2 linked regions of the Drosophila melanogaster genome follow. The protein of the gene in region 1 interacts with the protein of each later gene in a pairwise test. Each region holds a gene or a part of one and is shown in the gene's direction. Other genes may lie near its edges. The genes, in order: Cpr47Ee and LKRSDH.

Region 1 (8,618 bases):
ATTTGCCTGGGATCTGGCAAAAGGGCAATCGGTGCTGCTGCCACAATTTATAACTTTGACGGCTTAACTAATTTCAAAAATCGATCGCAAATTAAATATCCTAGCGATGAGCAAGCGATTTCAAATACAGCCGCTGGATGCCGCACACAAAGAAAAATATATTCAATAAAATAATACATAATGCGAAACTAGTTTTTGTAAGTATCTACTTTTTTTCAGATATGAAAAAAGGTATCTTAAATGACAAACATGTAATCTGCGCGTTTTGAACTTAAGAGCAGAGCTACATAAATGTACATACATATATTGAAAATAAAAAAATAAAATGCCAAATTTTTTTTTTTTTTTGATATTGATTTTTTTTAATATAATCATAATACATTTTCATGTATTGTTAAAAATTGTTAAAAAAGTTGCATACTACAAAAAAACATTACAAAATCAATTTTTTTTAAATCATTTATATATATACCCGTTCTTCGATGAGGTGATTCTCGCTCGCTAAAAATTCGGATGCTTAAAGATGACTTTTATTAATTATAATAATACTAGTTTGCATATATTTTTTGCCGTGTGCCGCTCCTTGAGCCCCAAAGCCGGGCATTCGCCCCTGGATTGGCGATTGGCTTTGGTAATTGCCTGGCTGGCTAACATTTTCAAGAATGTATGCCCATCAAAGCTAATGGCTCTATGCGAATTGGTTTATAGGCTTCCCCTTTGGATATGTACCGAACGTGGGGCAGAAAGCCATTCTTGTCCGCCGTATAGCGCACCTCCACCTCCTGGCCCCAGTCGTTGATATAGCGATAAATACCGGACACCTCGAGATCGTCGTCAGATGTCTTCGAATCGGAGCTCACTATGCCCAGTTCCTCGCGATAGGTGCCATCTGCGGACTCGAACGAAAATAGGTAGGAACCCGAGCTAAGTTGTTCGGTCACCGATTTGAGGATTGGCACCGGCACGTTAATGGAAGTACACTCAGCGGGGCAACTCCACAGCAGTTGGCAGCCAGTCAAGATCAATAGCTGGAAGTTCCCAAAAGAAAAAAAGAAAAAACATGAAGAAAAATGATGTGGAGTCACTTAACGCCAGGGTATTCATGAGCCATCCGCTACTTACCAATGCGAACATGATTTATGCTAATACTAAGCGTGTAGGAAAGATTCTGCGCTTTTTATAGCAATCCGTTAGACGATAGTCCAGATACATAGATACATTTCTCCACCCAATCAGCAGACAAAAGTTATGCAATGCCAGATGCTTTTTAATTGAGGTCAGTAGAAAGTAGCGGCTCGTTGTGTCTCAGAATTTTTGGGGTTTGTTGAACCTCAGATTTGCAATTCAAATGGCGATTAAGAAGTGTGGAGAGCAGGTAAACTGTCATGTTTACACAATGCAGATAGCATCATAGGCACATGCGAATGGCGTGGGCTCTGCTCGAAAGGTGCAGCAGCTAATAAAATTTGTCACAATTGCCGGCACTGCGGCAATTTGTGGCAAGCGAAAGGTGCAGAAATGGTAACGAACGACTGCTCCACCTGACTTGACTTCTACATGCAAATTCCAGCCAGCAAACTTTGATACAGTGGGTGGGCACCTCTGGGCCTTTGAGAAGCGGCTAACATTTATGGCAAACGGCATGCTGGCAACGGCAAGACAAAAAGAATTCAATAATAATTTCCAGCAATTTCGCAACTGGGCTGCGGCAGCAGCAGCACCACATTGCGGCAGAAGTTGCATTTTGGCATTTGCCTTGGCCCGCCCAGTTCCAATTTCCAGTTCCACTTGCCAAAACGGCCAGGCTCTCGGGCAACGTGTTAATAAATTGATTCTTGGTGGCTCCCCAGTCGGTGAGTTGGTTTAAATCCCGCGGAATCAGGTATGACTGCCAGCATGCACATGGAGAAATAATTGGGGAAACAAAAAGTCTAAAAAGGATTACAACAGATTTTATTTCCATTTTAAAATAAATTCAACAACTTTTTCTACATATATTTTTCTCTTGTACAGTTAGGTGCGCTTCGTCACTACGCGCCATTCACTGTTATGGAAAACCGAAAAATAATTAGATTTTCATGAATTTGTACGTGACACAATGACTGTAAATCTTATTAGCTTATTTTTATAAGAATTTAAGGGCCGAAAGGACCCTACTCTATTTTTTTCGAGTGTCTCTTTGCAAAGCGGCATTTGACGCGCCTGCCACAGAAGTGGAAACTTATTAATGAAGCAGCCGCAATGCCGACGAGGTCATAATTCAGAGCTGCGACACTCTAACCTTTAGCCAAGATCTGCCAGCCGGAACCTGAAGATCCGCAGTCGCAATTTTGTTGCAGTCGCACTACGCACTGCCACAAAGTGAATCAATTAGCTCCGCTGGCGGCCATAATTTCTAACTAATGCAATTCGCAATTGCAAAATGTCAGGCCCACTCAACAAAGTATGAAACATCTAAACCATCTCGAAGCGGTGCAACTTTCTGGCTGCCATCTATTAATAACCGTCGCCTTTGCTGTCCGACTTTCAGTTGGATTTGGATTTGGATTTGGGGCTAAGGCCTATGGCTCATAGACATGGCTCAGTCGCAGTTGGAGTCGTGGGAGGAGTGTCCGACCTGTCTTTAATGCGGTTTGCTCATCGGCCAACAACCACATTGTGTTGGCTTGTACTATGCGCTTGTTGTGTCTCGCATTTCTGCATTTTTACGAAGCTCCCCGCATCGCCTCGTTTTCCCGCATTTTGAAGCTTTGTTTTATGGCTATTTATACCCCAAGTTTGCGAATTATTCAAATGGCAAATCAATCAGGCAGCGATTGGCCAATATGGGCCAAAAAACATTTTATAATTAATATTGAACACATTCAATTTGATCTGCTTATTGGGTCAAAACATTTTCGAACCCTAAATCAAAGTTATTTTTAGACATATGGAAGCTGCCAAAACCTATCATTACCTTAAATAAAAAACAAGAGATGTGTAATAACCAAACTAGCAGAAAATCAAATTACATAAAAAATTCCCACGGCCGTTGATTTCACGTCGCATATATGGGCTTTAAAACAACAACACATCGGAAATGTATTGTAAAATCGATTTTTTTATATACATTATACATTGCAAATCATAAGAAATTAAAAAGTTTAAATGAACAATACCCTTTTAATTAATAATAACAAAAGGAAGATGACAAGCAGCAAAAAGTAGTTCATCGAACTGAATAACTCTCATCTTTTATATCTAAGCAATTTAGATATAATTTATAAGTAAAAATATCAATTAATTTTAAAATTAACCTGTTTGGCATGTGCTAAAATTTCCCAGCGAAGCGTATGAAAATGTCGTGAAGGGCGAAAGTGGAACCTATTTGGATTTCGAATATTTATGTAGCATATTTCGCGGCTCCGTTATTTATATTTCTTGGGTCAAAATATCTCTTCTACTTTTAGGCAGATTCTCACATTACCTAGGCACCTAAAGTTTAGTTTATTGCCACCATATCTTTATCGTTTCATAAAAAAAACGCAAATTTTTTAATTTTTTGACAGGAACCGAAATTTAGCTTTAGATTTAAATAGAAGCATAAGCTCCCAATTGAGTGGTGACCCATAACCCATAAAACGCGAGTGTTGACCTTTGTTTCGTAATGAAAAACCTCCACAGAATTAGCATATGCAATTATAGATGAAGCTGAACATGGAACAAGACATGTTCGCCTTTTAATGGCAGCTCATACTGATGACAAACGAAAATGTATCTGTCAGATACTTGGCAGTTATAAATGAGTGATGGCGACCACATCACACCTAGACATGAGCAATCCCCGTCCCATCGAGATTGATGATTAACCCCACTGGAGCGTGGAACAATGGAACACTTCGGGCACGAAAAGCTCTCAAGCTATCCTGGGGATAAGCAGTATCGCATTTGATTAGTATGCCATTTGACAAATGATGTTTGTAGGCCAAGTTGAGGTCCGATTTCCACCTTGACCAAGGGAAAATGAAGGGGCTATCCAACATACAACATAGACCACCAGCCACTGTCAGCACATAACTCAAGCAAACACCTTTGAGGCAGATGCGAAGACAAGTGCTGGAGCAAAAAGACCCAGAATTTGCATATGGGGCTGGCTCATAAACAAGTGCGCGGAAGACGACCGGTGGGCCACCATGAAGATATCAATCAGCCCAGGCCAAAGCCGAAGCCAAACGAAATTCGTTTGTCCTTCTGTCAATGGCCGATAAAAAACCAATAAAGCTGCCAGCCCAGCGGCTTGTTAACACGCAGATAAATTACACTGGCCGCCCGCGAGATTACCATCGAGATGCAGTCAGAAGCCGATAGCCAGGGCACAGGAAGCCGCCGATTGTTCTGACCATAACTGAGCTGAGCTTTAGGGCCTGACGAACCGCCGGGCCCGACGATCGAGAACCGCATAAATACGGCCGCCGGTGGGAGCCGCAATTGCAGTCGTGGCACGGCTTTCGATCAGTGACTTCCAGTGGCAGCAACGGATTTGCTTCGGTACGCGATTGAATCTCCAGCATCAGCAGTGTTTCCCAGCTCCATAAGTGAATCGTCGGGTTTATCGAGCGTGTAATTTGTGCTCCGTTCGCGAGATTTATGATCCACGGCACCTGCCCACTGACAGCCTAAATGTCTGTAGCCCGTACCCCTCGATTCCGGCACCTCCGCTGGGTGGCCTGTCTGCTGGCCAGCCTCTGGTTTTCCGTCAGCCAGGCTCAGTTGCCAGGAACCGGATTCCAGGGACAGCGTCCGCAGGTGCCTCCACTGCAGCCGCTGCAACAGCAGGCCAATCCCTTTCAGCGACGCCAGCCGAATCCCGTACAGGGTCAAGGACTGTTTCCTGGTCAAAGGAATCCACTGAACCCACTGGCACCTCCACTAACTGGAGCTGCTCTACAGAATCCCTATACCCGCTACAACCAGTACCAGCAGCAAAACTATGTGCCCATCACTGCCTACCAAAACGAACTCAATCTGGATGGAAGCTTCTCCTACGGATACTCGTCGGCCGATGGAACCACTGCCCAGGCACAGGGATACGTGAAGAACTTGGGGTATGGTGAGGGAGTTGAGGCACAGGTGGGTTTACTATTCAGATTGATTAGCAAACTTTTCAGTGATATTCTTCTAAATGATCCTATAGCATTAATTGATGGAAAATGGTGTTAAGACTTATTTGTTGATATTTACATCAGCCTTTTTTTAAGTAAATTTTTCTGTTATTTTTTAGTAGAACAAGTTTTTTAAGCTTCACATATCTATGCATAAATTCAAGTAAATTATTTTCAAAAAACCAACGATCATATTATTCAAATTGGGACATAATGCGTTGCAATCTTTTCGGCGTTGAGCTAACTATAACTAAAAAATTCGTATCATGCTTTTGGGTGCTATTTGTCAACAACTTTATTTGCCATTGAACAGGTGATTCAGGGATCCTACTCGTACACCTCACCGGAGGGCACACCCATCACAGTGCGCTACATCGCCGATGAGAACGGATTTCGAGCGGAGGGCACGGGGATTCCATCTAGCCCTCAATATTTCGCAGGTGCCCAGCCCTATCAACAGGGCTTGCTCAATCCCAATTTGAATCCATACCAGACGCCCTTCCGCCAGCTGCCACCCCCACTGCCCAACGCCCCCTTTCGTCCCCAGCTTCCAGGACAACAGCCGCTCACTCCACTGCAGCAACAGCAGCAGCAACAGCAACAACAGTTGCAACAGCAACGCGGTTTCCAGCAGCAGCAGCAGCCAAACTCCGGGCAATATCAACCGGAACAGCCGTTCAATCAGTTGCATTCCGGCAACTTACCCGGTCAGTATGCCGGACAATTTGGCCAGCAATCGTTTGGCAGCAATCTTACTGCACAACAGGCACAACAGCAGCAGAATCTCAACCAGCAACAGCAGCAGCAGCAGCAACAACAGCAGCAGCAGCAACAGCAGCAGAAGGAGCAGCAAAACGAGCAGCAGCAACAGGCCCTAATCACCCAACAACTGAGGGGCAGACCGAACAACCTGGTGGATCCATATGGCTATAATCAGTACGGCAGACGCTTCAAGAAGTCCCCAAAGAAATAACGACAAATTAATGTCATTTAAATGATTGATTAGTTTGAAGATGTAGTCGCAACTCAAAGGCATGAAATACATGCATCTGAAAAGTCAAGCAGTTTGTTTCAATTTCCGCAGCTTACGCGGCGCAAAATGATAAGCAAATATTTTATAATAATCATTTATTTCGATAGTTGCACACACACATTGTCAGAGTGGAAGAGGGAGGTAAGCTTATATAAATAAATTAATTGTTTTAGCGAAAGAACATTGAGGGCAGCCTGCACGGAAATGACGTTTCTTCGATTTGAGAGATTTGATTGGCGTTTTGGAATAAATTCTGATTTTAGTAGCTATAGCCCGTCTGAGGATTGAACTCTCCGTTTCCACGACCTCCGCCCGGCGCTCCCGGAGCAGGTGGAATGTACTGTGATCCTGTGCCGGGAACTCCTCCCGATCCTGGTCTGCCTGGCGAGCCGGGTGCTCCGCCACCAGCCGCTGGTGGAACATACTGATTGCCGGGCAATCCTGGTCCGCCTGGACGTCCACCGGCGCCTCCTAGATAAAAAATGGAAACAATCGCGATTAGAGTGGCATTAAATTTATGTAAACCCTCTTTGATTAGTTGTAATTATTTAAAGCAGTCTTTAAAATTATTATAATCTAGCGACTTCAAAGAGACCGCGTGCAAGCCGAAATGTTTTATGCATGAAAGATCGTTAGTCGATCGTGGGTAAAACAATAGACCAAGGCTTTGCCAAACAAGAATTGTCAAAATAAAAAAACTGAAATGTGTGGGAATAGCACTTGTCTAGTGTAGCTCTTCACATCATTTTCTCATGAAGATGAATGAGGCTAATTCAAGTTTTACAATTGCAATCACACAGATTGTAAAACCGGGTTTATAACTATAATGCTTCTTACCCGGTCCACCGGCACCTCCTCCATAACCTGGACCGCCTGGAGATCCTACATTAAAAAATGTAAATACCATCTATATGTTGTGACAAATTGGGAGAGTGACCTCTTCATCACAAAAACCAATGTTACTCACCGGGTCCACCGGGTGCTCCTCCAGCTCCACCGCGACCACCGCCGGCGCCAAAGCCACCACCACCTCCTAAAAAATAAATATTACTTTAATTATTATAATATTTATAACACAGTTTAACAAGTAGTCGGAAACTTGAAGAATTTCGTAAGTTTTGTGGAATGCACAGTGTACTGTTACTAAGTTACTAACCTTGGCCTCCGAATCCTCCTCCTCCGGGAGAGCCTGCGAAACACGAATGGTATGTTTTTAAAGCCACTAGGCAGATATTAAAATCGACTTACCAGGAGCTCCAGGAGCACCACCACGACCGGCGCCGCCTCCGTATCCGCCACCCCCACCTACAAGATGAAGATGTTTTACTTAAGACCTGCAACTGGAATATTGTTTTGCTAACTAACCTTGACCGCCAAATCCTCCTCCACCAGGCGATCCTATTAATTAATAATTCCTTATTTTCAGTAACAAACAATTTATGTTTTGTACTCACCTGGAGCTCCTGGGGCACCTCCACGACCACCACCTCCTCCGAATCCGCCACCACCTCCTACAAGATGAATGTATTATTCGAGGTGAATGTGCAGTAAGTTTTAAAATCCCTTACCTTGACCTCCGAATCCGCCACCACCTGGGGATCCTGGTGCTCCTGGCGCACCTGGTGCTCCACCACCACCGCGACCGCCGCCGCCTCCATAGCCGCCGCCAGCACCTCCCTGGCCACCATATCCGCCTCCGCCTGGTGATCCTGAAAATAAGCAATGTGTTATCTATTATATAAAGTGAATGAAATCATGAACTCACCGGGAGCGCCAGGAGCACCGCCGCGTCCGCCGCCACCTCCGAATCCTCCGCCTCCACCTGGAAAGTGTATATAGTTTTAACTTGAACCGCAAAGTCAGGCGGGATCACTTACCTTGACCTCCGAAACCTCCACCGCCAGGTGATCCTTTAGTTGAAGTAAGTTATTAGTTTTGAGTATCTATGGAGTAACACTTTTCGTTAACTTACCGGGAGCTCCTGGTGCTCCGCCACCGCCGCGTCCTCCGCCGCCGCCACCACCATAACCGCCGCCAGCACCTCCTTGACCACCAAATCCGCCGCCGCCAGGTGATCCTGAAATATATGAAAATAAATATAAATTCATGAAGTGAATTAAGACGGATTTTCTTTAGGAACAATAAATTTCATCTAGAAAAAGGACTTACCAGGACCTCCTGGGGAACCACCACGACCAGCTCCGCCACCAGCTCCTCCATAGCCTCCTCCACCTCCTAAAAAATAAATAGTATTTTAGATCCATGTGTAAGCCGTTGGAACATAACTTACCTTGACCTCCGAATCCGCCTCCACCTGGCGCACCTAAAGAAGCAAACGAATCGATAAAGTATTAAATTAATCTAATAGGGGTTAACATTTTTAAAAATTGTATAAATAAATCAGTCGTTACCTGGACCTCCTGGTGCTCCTCCACGACCACTGC
Region 2 (11,847 bases), on another chromosome or scaffold:
AAAGGCAAGCAATTGACATTGAAATTGTTAATACATTGTTGAAAGTTTTTAAGAGGAACGCTTAGTTTTCATTTTAGCATTGTGTTGTAAAAATAAAATCAAAAATGCTGAAGACTACGAAGCACTTTATTTATTTTAGACTGAAACCCCTTTTATTCGTATAAAAGTTGTACTTGTAAAAAAAAAAAGAAATGCAGCATTTTTACCATTTTTTTCCGTCAAATTATTTAAAATATTTGTTTCAAGTAAGTCTTTGATTACTAGCATTCCTTTTAAAGGCAAATGTTCAGATTTTTAATTTCACTGTGCAATACATATTTATGTAAATTGCTTCAAATATTTTATAATCAGTTGTTGCAAACAATAAGTTCGGACCGTATAAATACTTTACATTTTAATAGAATTAACATTGGTATTGGCATCGAAAAGTAATTAATAATATCATTATGTTATACCTTCTCGAAAGTAAAAGTTGTTGTACCCACTCCCCTTACTTATTTCCTTGGATTTTTTACACCTATCTCAATCGTGTACAAAGTTAACATAGATGTTTACTAAAAGACCTTGAAAATAATTTTTTTATGTTTCCCACCTACAAATTGGTGGAGATTGTATTAATCGTAAGATTAAATGAAATATGTGCATTCTAGAGTGTAAATAAAACGAGTTTACTTAGTTTTAAGCTAGAATAGTTGAATAAATGTTATACGCATTAAATCAACATGGTGCGAAAATAGTCTATTATATGGTCGTAGATATCGGTCTCCTTTGCCATAAGGACCACGTCGAATGCACAATTAAGCTCGACGCTAAGCAAGGGAACCAACGATGAAGATTCCACTTCACTGATTTTGGGTGTTATCTTTAAAGAGCTCATTACGTCCATAGCCTTATCCTTGGAGCTCTCGTATTCATCTGAATTGATGGCCTCAATGGCCTCCTTTTTCAGGGTAGGATAGAAGTTCTTGAAGTAGTTGTGTCGGTCGCAGAGCCGCATGCCTGTATGGTCTACGCTCCCGGCTTCCTTCAACTCCCAGTAGGTGGTAAATTTCTTTCTGCGCAATGCCTCCAATTCCTCCATAGATTCTTCCATATCAACAACTTTCAATTTGCTTGTGCTCGCTACTTGCATTTGATCCGGACGCAAATTGTCCGAATTGCTGGAGATTAAGGCCAGCATTTCAATGGCCGCTCGCTGACGGGCATCCTTCTTTTTGTCCGACTTTCCGTAGCGTACTATGGAGGCCACGGAGCAACAGGCCACGAATTCCGGGGCGCTCGGGGTGCCGCTTTGCTGCACTACCTCAATGCAGGGCAGTGGCATCTCGCGGCGGACGCAGTAGTCACGCAGCTCCTTCACCATGTCCCGGTTGAGGTTAGTCAGTTCCTCATCCAGATCACCCACAGTCGAATCCTTCATCAAGCCGTGTATGCCGGGCAGCAGTTGGATTTTACGCAAGATATTGCTGGCAGCCAGGTGTTTGGCATCACGCTTCGAACGCCCTAGAATTGGATAAATATGTGGCGGTTTAGATACGAATATAAATAGTGGTTGAGATTTGTAATTTAAATTTACCATTTCCAAGGGCCTCTATCTCCAATAGTTCAACTTTACAGACGTACCCTCCGTCTTCGCCGGGAATAAAACTGTATGTTGGTAGATTAATCTGTGTCCGGGCACAAAACTCCTGTAGAGCAGATACGGCTGACTTGTTATCCATGAGTTCAAGGGGAAAAGGCACGTCGGACGTGCTAACATTCAACAGAATATAACCATATATATAATTTATAAAATATCTAAAGCACTGCAATGTTATTAGAGATGGCACGCGAATCACGAAGCGGCAACGATAGAATAGGAAATCTTGACGAAGACATCTGTAAATGAATTATTTTATGCCGCTTTGTCAAAAAAATATTTTCACGAAATAGTATTGAATTCGTAATTCGAATACGAAAACAGCGGCAAACCTTCTTAACTTTTTTACTAAGGAGCAAATGCATTTTATATGCTATTCGGTGTTTTCATTCAAAGTTCAACGTCTGAAGTGTTATACATAATCGACACGTCACGATGACGCGAGTTGGCATCCCCGTAAGTCAAGGCAACCCTGTTGCGTAGTATATGGCATTAACAAGTGTTGCTGTCAGTGATGAGCAAAATCCACAACTGCAAATAACTAGATACCGTATATTTTTCAAAGGAATAAATTCTAAAAACACTAAAACCAAGTGTTTGAGCAACGACTTTAATATTTTCCAACTGTGTACTTAAATTGCCACATCCCACACACTTTGGAAAATCAATTCTCAGCTGTTTGTGCAACCTGCGACTTAAAAATACCTGCTACTCGCGGCAGCCCTGTGACCGACGCTCATCACTTGCCACAGGTCAGAACCAAATGAAGAGTAGTTTTTGATCAACTGCGGAACGTTTACTGCGTTTCATAATCAATAACTCTGTGCTGCGAGCAAAACACCACAGAACGAACAGCTGTTGAAAACCAAACAATAGCATAATACCAAATTAAATGTCAAATTCAGAATAAACTATTTCTCGAAAATACGCAGAGAGCAGAGCGGAGTAGGAAGTGAGAAACAGTGGCTGCGTAAAAAGTGTCCCCGCTAGCGCAGCAAAAACCCATCACCGATCTTCGTATCGCGGTCATTAATTAGCAATAGAAAGTTCTCCGATTCGCGGGGTCAGCCAGATGGAGGAGAACGCCGCCCCACCCGCAGCCGCAACAGCCGCGGGCTGCGATGCCGCCACCCGTCAAAAGAATCCGGAAACCAGTGTCCGGCTGCTCATCAAGTCGTCCAACCAGCAGTATGAGGATCTCAATGTGGACTCCGATCTCTGCTGGACGGTCCAGAGGCTGAAGAAGCACCTATCTCTTATCTATCCTGGCAAACCGGTGGGTTATCGAGTTGGTTCCCCCCCTTGTTATCGTATAGGTAGAAAACTGGCCAGGAGCCCCATTATCTTATCGAGAAGTTTGTTATTGTTTATCATCTTCGTTTAGGATTCATAGGTGTGTCGGTTCCCAAAGCTATTTGCGTCTTAGTCGCAAGTACACGTCAGTGGATTGCTCCTCTAAATTATAGTCGCCGTCATGCACTTGCGTCATGCACTTGGTCTATGCCAAATCGATGGGTCGGAACTGGGAACTGGGATTAATTTGGTTACGGTTAGAAAGTGATAAGATTTTTGGACATATTCACGCTCCACTCATGTGCCAAGTTTTTTATGTACATATGTACATCCCACATATCAATATCACTGATATATACTAAAGATTCAGATCATTGCAGGCAGAAAAAATACATTAGCACTCTTTATTTCCAGAGCAAATCAAGTAGAATTTATAAAAATTTATTTAGTTTCAAGTATCATTTCCATAAAGTCAACTGACAAGTACAAGTTGTTATCTCTTGGAGTGTGCAAATAAATAGATTTAGGCACTGTTTGATAGTATAAATTTCGCGCGGAGGTAAAAGCAACAATGAGTTATCTCTAGGTTCCCTCTGAATACCTATAATGTGAAATTTTATGTTTTATGTTTTGACCACTATAACTATTTCTTTCCATTTTTTCTGTAGTTAATCCAGGACCAGAAACTTATTTACTCGGGCAAGCTATTAGATGACTCCCAAAAGATATCTGAGGTGATACGCAGCTACAAGGATGTCTACCAACAGCACCACATATTTCACTTGGTGTGTGCCAGCAAGCAAGTGATAAGGCCGGCTGCCAAAGCCCCCACTGTTCCGCAGAAGGATGCGGTTCCAGCTGGGCCCGAGGTCACTGGGAATGCAAATGAGCTGCGACAACGTCATGCTCCACATCAGCAGCAGGCACAGCAGGGCAACGCTGGACCACACGTGACGGGTGACATCGGTTTGGCCAATCCCTGGACACACTTCTGGCAGCAGAGCCAGGGAGCAGCACCTGCTGCCAATGCCAGTGCCAGTCCCCATGCTTTGTTCCAGCAGCAGGCGCTCATCTACAACGCCTGGATGCAGCAGGCTTACGCGCAGTACATGCAGCAGTTGACTCTACGGTAAGTGAACAGAACCAGAAGGCTAAAGGAACACACTTGATCCAACAATTAATTCACTGATATCAGAAGCGAGCGAATCAAATTACACAGAGCTCGATAGCGAATACATTTTATTTTTCTCAGAAGGAGAAACACTTGTATTTAGTCACTCTTAAGAGGTACTTTATTATTCAAGTGAGATCAAAATGCTGTTTTAGCATTTTTAAAGTTGTTTCTTGATTATTTATAATCTTTTTATTATTTTGGTTATCAGGCGTGCTAAAATTGTAGTATACTTGTATGGCCACGATTACAGTTAAATAATATAATTTTGGGGTCGCTCCCGAAGAATTTATTGTGCGCAATTAAGTTTTGCATGTAAACGAACAATTATTTTCTATAATATTGAATGCTATGATTCTTACACAACAATCTTATATTATACCCACAGTTCTACGTTGCCCGGTTCGAACCAATCTGGCTTGCCGCCACCGACTCAACCCCTGTTGCCCTCAGTCCCACTGATTGCTGGGCGAAACTTCGGGGAGGTACAACAAGTGGCAGGAGCAGCTGCTGCCCCAGCGGCACAGGTACCTGCTGATCCTCAGATTAATGGAGCGCCGCAGAACAGAAATTTTCCCAACATTCAGGAGGAACCGGAAATGCACGACTGGCTGGATAGTTTCTTTAGCTTTACGCGATTGGCCATTTTTGTGACTGTCCTGTACTTTAACTCCTCAGCGCTGCGTTGTTTACTGGTGGTGCTCATCGCGGGTGCGATTTATCTGTAAGTACATTTCCTCTTTGATTCGAATTGAAAAGTTTACACATATATTGAAATTATAATTGTTTGTTAGATATCACATTGGTGTCCTTCGACGTCGCCGCGAGCGGAACAATAACAACATAAATCGTAACAATAATGCTGGCGATGCGGCCGCCTTTGCTGCAGTGCAGCAAATTCAGCGCATGATGGATGCGGCCGTGCAGCGGGAGAACAACGATCCCCAGGCGGCCAATGAGCCTGGTGCAGTGCCAGCGGCTGGACCTGCTGCTGCTGGTGAACAAGATGCAATCGATGCACCTCCGGCTGGGGCTCCCGTTGCTCCAGCATCCGCTGCTAATCCAGAACCGACTGACGTTTCCGCGGAAGCTGTGGAACCACCAAATGCCAATAATTCTGTGATTTCCGTTGTGCGCACCTTTGTCATCACGTTCTTCACCTCGCTGCTGCCCGAGGCGCCGGCGCTCTAGAGGATCGAACTGTACGTTATACAGAGGGACGTGTTTGACCATCCACAAACCAGCTTTACAGCTTTACGGCTTTCCTCTTTTAAAACTCCCATAATCAAACTGTTATTCCGTTTTCCTTTTGAGTTTTGTGCATACCTGAGAATGTAGCAAAAACAAACAATTTGTTTTACTAGCTGTAATAATCATGTATATTTATTTCCGAGTGTTAGCCAAGTTACAACATGGTGACTGCTGCCTCAATAGCTCGTAGAATTTTAGATATCTAAGAACGTACTCTGTTTTTGATGTGAATAGTAGAATGTTTATAATCTGCACTGCAATCTGTGCTAGAGACGAACCTATGAAACCAAGATGCAATTAAAATAAAACGTATGCTTTAACACCAAAAACCGAAATCGAAAAGTGGTGTTTACAAGGTGCAATTTTATCTATAAAAAATATATCTACGATTTAAATGAAGAACATACTGTTTTTAAATGTTTTCAACATCATTGGCATTGTTTTTAAAATCTTAAAAGAATCTTTAATTTAATAACATATAGACATATGAACATATGCATAGACACATATTGACTATTAAAAAATATATTTTTAAAATTTAAAATGTTATTATTTTAAACAATTTTGAATGATTCAATAAGGAAATAATCGGTTTTTTCCCGAAAATTTGTATAAGAATTGCATTGTGTAAACAGCGCTTGAGGAATTTTCCCCGGACGATTCTCTTAATTCTTAGAAACTTCTCTTATCAAAGTGGAAAATTTTCAGCCGAAAATCGAACGGAGATCCGGATTCCCTCACGGGTAAGTGACAATCACCAGCAGCTCGCTCTTTTTGCCCAGCTAACGCACAAAATTGGTTTCTTTTAGCTGCGATGAGATGCATGGAGAGCACGGCTTATCGCTGGATTTACGACTGGGTCCAACTGCTGATTAGAGGCTGTTTCGCTGACTGCCTCCATCGATGCCTTTAGAAGAGTACCAGAGCTCGGAGCCAACGGATCGGATCATTCCACTCAGGCCAAGAATAAGCACAACGGTTACAATTAAATTCGCACTTCATCTGCTCGAACTGATCCCACAAAGCTGCCGAAACATGTGGCGAGTGATTCAACTGCGCGCAACAATCGCGCATCCGTTCACCAGACAACGTCATGTGAGTTGATTCAACTCCCCAATTGCAGCCACATTGAATAATCGCATTCATACGAATGTAAAAGATATTAATTTTTAAAATATATATACTAAATAAATATCCCAATCTTTTGCTCTTTCAGAGTCGAGTGATTGCCATTCGGCGAGAGGATCAGTCGGTGTGGGAGCGACGAGCTCCGTTTGGACCAACCCACGTCCAGAAGTTGGTCAAGCAGAATGTCAAGGTCATAGTGCAGCCGTCCAATCGTCGTGCCTACCCCATGCAGGTGAGCTCAATTTGAAATTAAAATTTCGTCACATTATCCATAGGTTGTAACTTTCCATGGCCAGTTGGCAACGGATTTATTGAGTCTGCAGGGCTAATCGCCCATGGAAATCATATCGGTCGGTAGTCGTCAGGGCAACAAGTACGCGTGTATAGGTAGCATAGTATGGTATTTATATGGTATGGAGGCACACACGCCCCCCAAGTGCTGCATCATAAATATAAACTCGGATGATAAGCCTCCATGGAGCTCTAAATTTGGCAATTGGCCCGGCCTTGAAATCGAGTACAAAACAAACGACGAGGAGAGGAAAAACAATGGGAAGCAAAGCTTATCGTTTGCAGCAATGATTTCAAGGAATCTATATAATGTATTAAGGTGATTTTTAGAGTTGATAACATTTTCAAAGGGTCACGTGAGAAAGAACTAAACTAACTAAAATAATTTTTGAAGAAGGTAAAGCACTTAATTTAAAGTACCCCACTGACACACCCCAACAGTAAATGCAATTACAAAACGATTAGCAAATGGTACTGGAAAAAATTAGAAAACCTAATCAGATTTAATTAAGTTGAGGGGCAAGGGGATTAAATGTTTCACACGTGTATAGTACAATCATCATCTTTCGCCTGATGCATTGTAAAGATTACCACGTAGCAGGATGAATAGAATAGATAAGCGGGGCACTTAACTAAATAAAAACAAATAATAACATTGAGTTGATTTGTTTTTCCGGAACAGGCCTACATGCAGGCTGGAGCTCATATTCAGGAGGACATCAGTGATGCTTCGGTGATATTCGGAGTGAAACAGGTGCCCATAGATGCACTGATTCCTGGGAAGACCTACTGCTTCTTTTCGCACACGATTAAAGCGCAGGAATCAAATATGCCGCTTTTGGATGCTATTTTGGAGAAGGTTCCTATCACACATAAGAGTTAAATGAAGTTTTTCATATTATATTGCCACTGTTTTATCCATAGAAAATTCGGCTCATCGACTATGAGCGAATCATCGACGAACGCGGAGCACGACAGGTGGCCTTTGGCAAATATGCCGGAGTGGCTGGCATGGTGAACATCCTGCACGGCATTGGACTGCGTCTTTTGGCCCTGGGACATCATACACCATTCATGCACATTGGACCCGCTCATAACTATCGCAATTCCTCGATGGCTCGCCAGGCAATCCGGGATTGTGGCTACGAGATCTCGCTTGGCATGATGCCCAAGTCCATTGGACCACTTACATTTGTGTTCACTGGCTCTGGAAATGTTTCCCAAGGTGCCCAGGAGGTGTTCTCCGAGCTGCCCATTGAGTATGTTCCACCGGAGATGCTACGCAAGGTGGCCGAACATGGAAGTGAGTCAAGTGGAATCCTGCATTAGTTAATTCTGAATGAACTACAATTTGTATTTAACGTTAGATCAAAATAAGCTTTACGGCTGCGAGGTGAGCCGATCGGATCATCTGGAGCGTCGTGAGGGCGGCGGATTTGATGCCAAGGAATACGATGAGTTCCCCGAACGATACATCTCCACCTTTAGCACGAAGATAGCTCCGTACGCATCGGTTATTGTTAACGGCATCTACTGGGCCGTAGGCAGTCCCAAGTTGATCAGCATTCCGGATGCCAAGAATCTGCTACGTCCGGCAAACACTCCCTGGCTGCCGACGAGCAAGGGTAGTCCGGCTTTGCCACATCGCATGCTGGCCATTTGCGACATTTCCGCTGATCCCGGTGGCTCCATTGAGTTTATGAACGAGTGCACCACCATCGACACTCCATTCTGCTTGTACGATGCGGACAGGAATAAGGATACCAAGAGCTTTAAGGGACCCGGAGTTTTAGTCTGTTCGATTGATAATATGCCTACACAATTGCCCAGAGAATCGACGGATTTGTTTGGAGAGCTGTTGGCTCCTCATGTTCATGATATTATAAAGAGCGATGCCAAGAAGCCGTTGGCAGAGGAGAACTTCTCATACCCCATTCAGTCGGTGAGTTCACTTTGCCTTACCTTTATATTACATTTATAAATTTACCTAAAGTTAATGATTTATATTGTAACTTACGCTTTGAAGAGTTGTTTTCTTAACCTAAACCAATGTGCATCATGCCTTGTTATCAGCATCTGTTATCAGCTAATAAATTCCGTTTCTCTTTGCTCGTTTTCAGGCTATTATCGCCAGCAACGGTCAGCTGACGGAGGGCTTCCAGTATATTCAGGAGCTCCGAGAGTCGCAAAGCCACAGATCGCGCCACAAGATGGAGGGAAGTTCGGAGTCTGACAAGAAGGTCTTGGTTCTGGGAGCTGGCATGGTGTCCGCTCCACTCGTAGAGTGGCTTCATCGCGAAAAGGACGTCAGCATAACGGTTTGCTCGCAGGTCAAGGAGGAAGCCGATCGCCTGGCTCAGCAGTATGCTGGAGTGGACAGCGTCTATCTGGATGTGAACGAGAGCACTGGTCATCTGCAGGAGCTGTGCGGCAGGGCAGATGTAGTAGTTTCCCTGCTGCCCTACAGTCTCCATGGCATGGTGGCACGTTATTGCGTGGCAGAGGGCACCCACATGGTTACCGCAAGTTATCTGAACGACGAGATCTCCGGTTTGCACGAGGAGGCCAAGGCCAAGGGTGTGACCATCATGAACGAGGTGGGCTTGGATCCTGGTATCGATCACCTTCTGGCACTGGAGTGCATCCACGAGGTGCAGGACAAGGGAGCAGTTGTCGAGTCCTTCGTGAGCTATTGTGGCGGTCTGCCTGCACCGGAGCATTCCAATAATGCCCTAAGATATAAGTTCTCTTGGTCACCCAGGGGAGTACTTCTCAACACACTTTCCGCTGCAAAATATCTGAGTCAGGGACAAATTGTGGAGATTTCTGGAGGTGGGGAACTCATGTCAAGTCCTCGCAGCTTGGATTTCCTGCCAGGATTCGCCCTGGAGGGTTTCCCCAACAGGGATTCCACCAAATACGGCAACCTTTACGGCTTAGGCAGGGATGTGCACACTTTGCTTCGTGGAACCATACGTTATAAGGGCTTTTCGGAATCGATTAAGCCTATGCAGCTCTTGGGACTTATCGATCCGGAGCCACATGCATTGCTACATCCCAGTGGGCCGGATGTCACGTGGCGCCAGCTGGTGATCCATCTAATGGGCATGTCGGACTCGACCATCTTCTACGAGAACCTCAAGCAGAAGCTGACTGAGCGCATTGGAGATGTGGACGGCATCGAGAGCTTGGGTCTGCTGGATGATACTCCTGTGGTGAAGCTCAACACTCCGCTGGATACGCTTAGTCACTATCTCTCGAAGAGACTTGCCTTCGGTGGGTTAACCATTTAATTCTAAACTGATTTTATAATTAATCATACTATTCATTTACAGAGCGGGATGAACGCGACCTGGTGGTGCTGCGCCATGAAGTTGGCATCCGTTGGCCCGATGGTCGTCGTGAGGAGCGTGGAATCAATTTTGTGGTCTACGGACAGCCCCAGGGTCACTCCGCCATGGCGATGACTGTGGGCAAGCCGGCTGCCATCGCAGCCAAAATGATCCTAGACGGTGGGTTCCCTTATCAGTACTCTTAAAAGCCGTTTAAATAATTCCAAATCATCCCATTTCAGGTGAGATCCAGGAACGCGGCGTCCTGCTGCCCTTCACTCCCGACATTTATCGTCCCATGCTGCAACGTCTGCGCTCCGAGGGTCTGACTGCCACGGAAACCTCCAGATGGCTAAATTAAGTGATCTTAACTGATCCCGAGAAAATAGGCTTAAGTCTTCATTAATATTACTTTTTTGACTGCCCACCGCGTCGGGTGATACTTCTTGTTTTATCGCTCGGGTATTTCGTTGTTTGATAAGAGTGTCATTACGTTATCATAATACTGAAATAAGTTTTATAACTAGAGCTACTTGACGTACGTAAACAAGTTGAAGTCGTTGTCCAAATTGTGAAACATGTTTCCTTAACGTGAATTCACTACGAGCCTGATTGTAAGTGATTAAATATTTATGGAAAATAATAATACTGTATAAGTGGATTGTATTTAAAGATATAGAAGGCCTGGAATATACAACATTGATTATGATCATAAACGTGTATTCCAATTTTCCGTGCGATTTAATCTTTAAGATTCGATTTCCGTTCGATTGTCCCTGTAGCGCCTGGCAACCCGATCTGCGAAGGGTTATCATCCGAACTTGAACTAATTTTAAATGAAGAAACCCGATTTCAATCTATATTTAGTGCGGCATAAAACATCTTTGGTGATCCGATTGGATCCGTTTGCGAGGCGGTCATTAACGTTTATAATTGTAATAAACAACAAACAGGCCACACATCTCCCTGGAATTACTGTGGAAAATGTGGAGCCCGAGACTGATAACCTCTCTGCCGGGCAGCAATTTAGTTGCCCATGGAGTGGGAGCGCGCAATCTCGCGTTTTACAAATTTTAATTCACATTCATTCAATGCAAAGCACACACACAATCTTTTTTGCAGATAAGATTGTGCGGGCTAGTGATGCCAATTACACGTAGTTAAACAAGTAATGTACATTTACTTCTGCGGTAAGTAAAAGGTTTTCTTTTAAAGATGTTTCTTATCTGGGGTCTGATTTGAGGATTGGGAAATTGTTCTCTGCATGAAATTTGCTAGATTCCACTTTAATAATACACGAAAATTTTTACTTTTAAAAAACGTTTTTTTCTAAAACTTTCTAAGTGCTATAAACGCAATAACGGAAACATGGAAAATTCATAGTTCGTGAAGAGAACATCCGGCGGAGGGGACTGGGGAAACCCGGATCAATTCCAAAAAACCGCCAAATGAGCATGACTGGTGTGCGGTGCGCACTGGGATTCGTTGTTGTGGAACCCAAGTCGCGGTCGACGTCGCGAATTAAGCGCTGGGCCATCGGGCCTGATAAGTCCGCGTCCGCAGTTCCCATTCAGACGCCGGTCCGTCCGGAATAAAGTACGTGTGTGTTCTCTTCATCTTTTGGGGCGGTCGTATATACGTCTGCGTGCTCGTCTCTTCGTCCGGTTCTTCTTCTTCGCCAGTTGTACGAGTGCAGTAGGAGTAACTGTTGTTTGCGTGTTGCGTGTTCTGGAGAGCGGCGG

What was found.
Region 2: the proteins of Cpr47Ee (region 1) and LKRSDH interact in a two-hybrid assay, tested with the Drosophila melanogaster proteins (one large-scale study listed by BioGRID).

Annotation. Positions count from the first base shown.
Region 1 is NT_033778.4:11,260,657-11,269,274, forward strand, and holds Cpr47Ee (cuticular protein 47Ee), read left to right. Parts: upstream 1-4,469; 5' UTR 4,470-4,659; coding exon 4,660-5,109; intron 5,110-5,454; coding exon 5,455-6,114; 3' UTR 6,115-6,200; downstream 6,201-8,618. Other genes in the region: Cpr47Ed (cuticular protein 47Ed), read right to left, coding at 657-1,028, 1,123-1,134; Cpr47Ef (cuticular protein 47Ef), read right to left, coding at 6,434-6,645, 7,012-7,056, 7,142-7,207, 7,331-7,363, 7,423-7,479, 7,540-7,572, 7,629-7,685, 7,743-7,883 and 6 more.
Region 2 is NT_033779.5:7,790,377-7,802,223, reverse strand, and holds LKRSDH (lysine ketoglutarate reductase/saccharopine dehydrogenase), read left to right. Parts: upstream 1-6,264; 5' UTR 6,265-6,389; coding exon 6,390-6,449; intron 6,450-6,570; coding exon 6,571-6,714; intron 6,715-7,455; coding exon 7,456-7,632; intron 7,633-7,697; coding exon 7,698-8,076; intron 8,077-8,140; coding exon 8,141-8,715; intron 8,716-8,893; coding exon 8,894-10,049; intron 10,050-10,108; coding exon 10,109-10,285; intron 10,286-10,347; coding exon 10,348-10,466; 3' UTR 10,467-11,049; downstream 11,050-11,847. Other genes in the region: r2d2, read right to left, coding at 713-1,503, 1,577-1,721; Herp (Homocysteine-induced endoplasmic reticulum protein), read left to right, coding at 2,712-2,915, 3,601-4,061, 4,492-4,827, 4,898-5,294.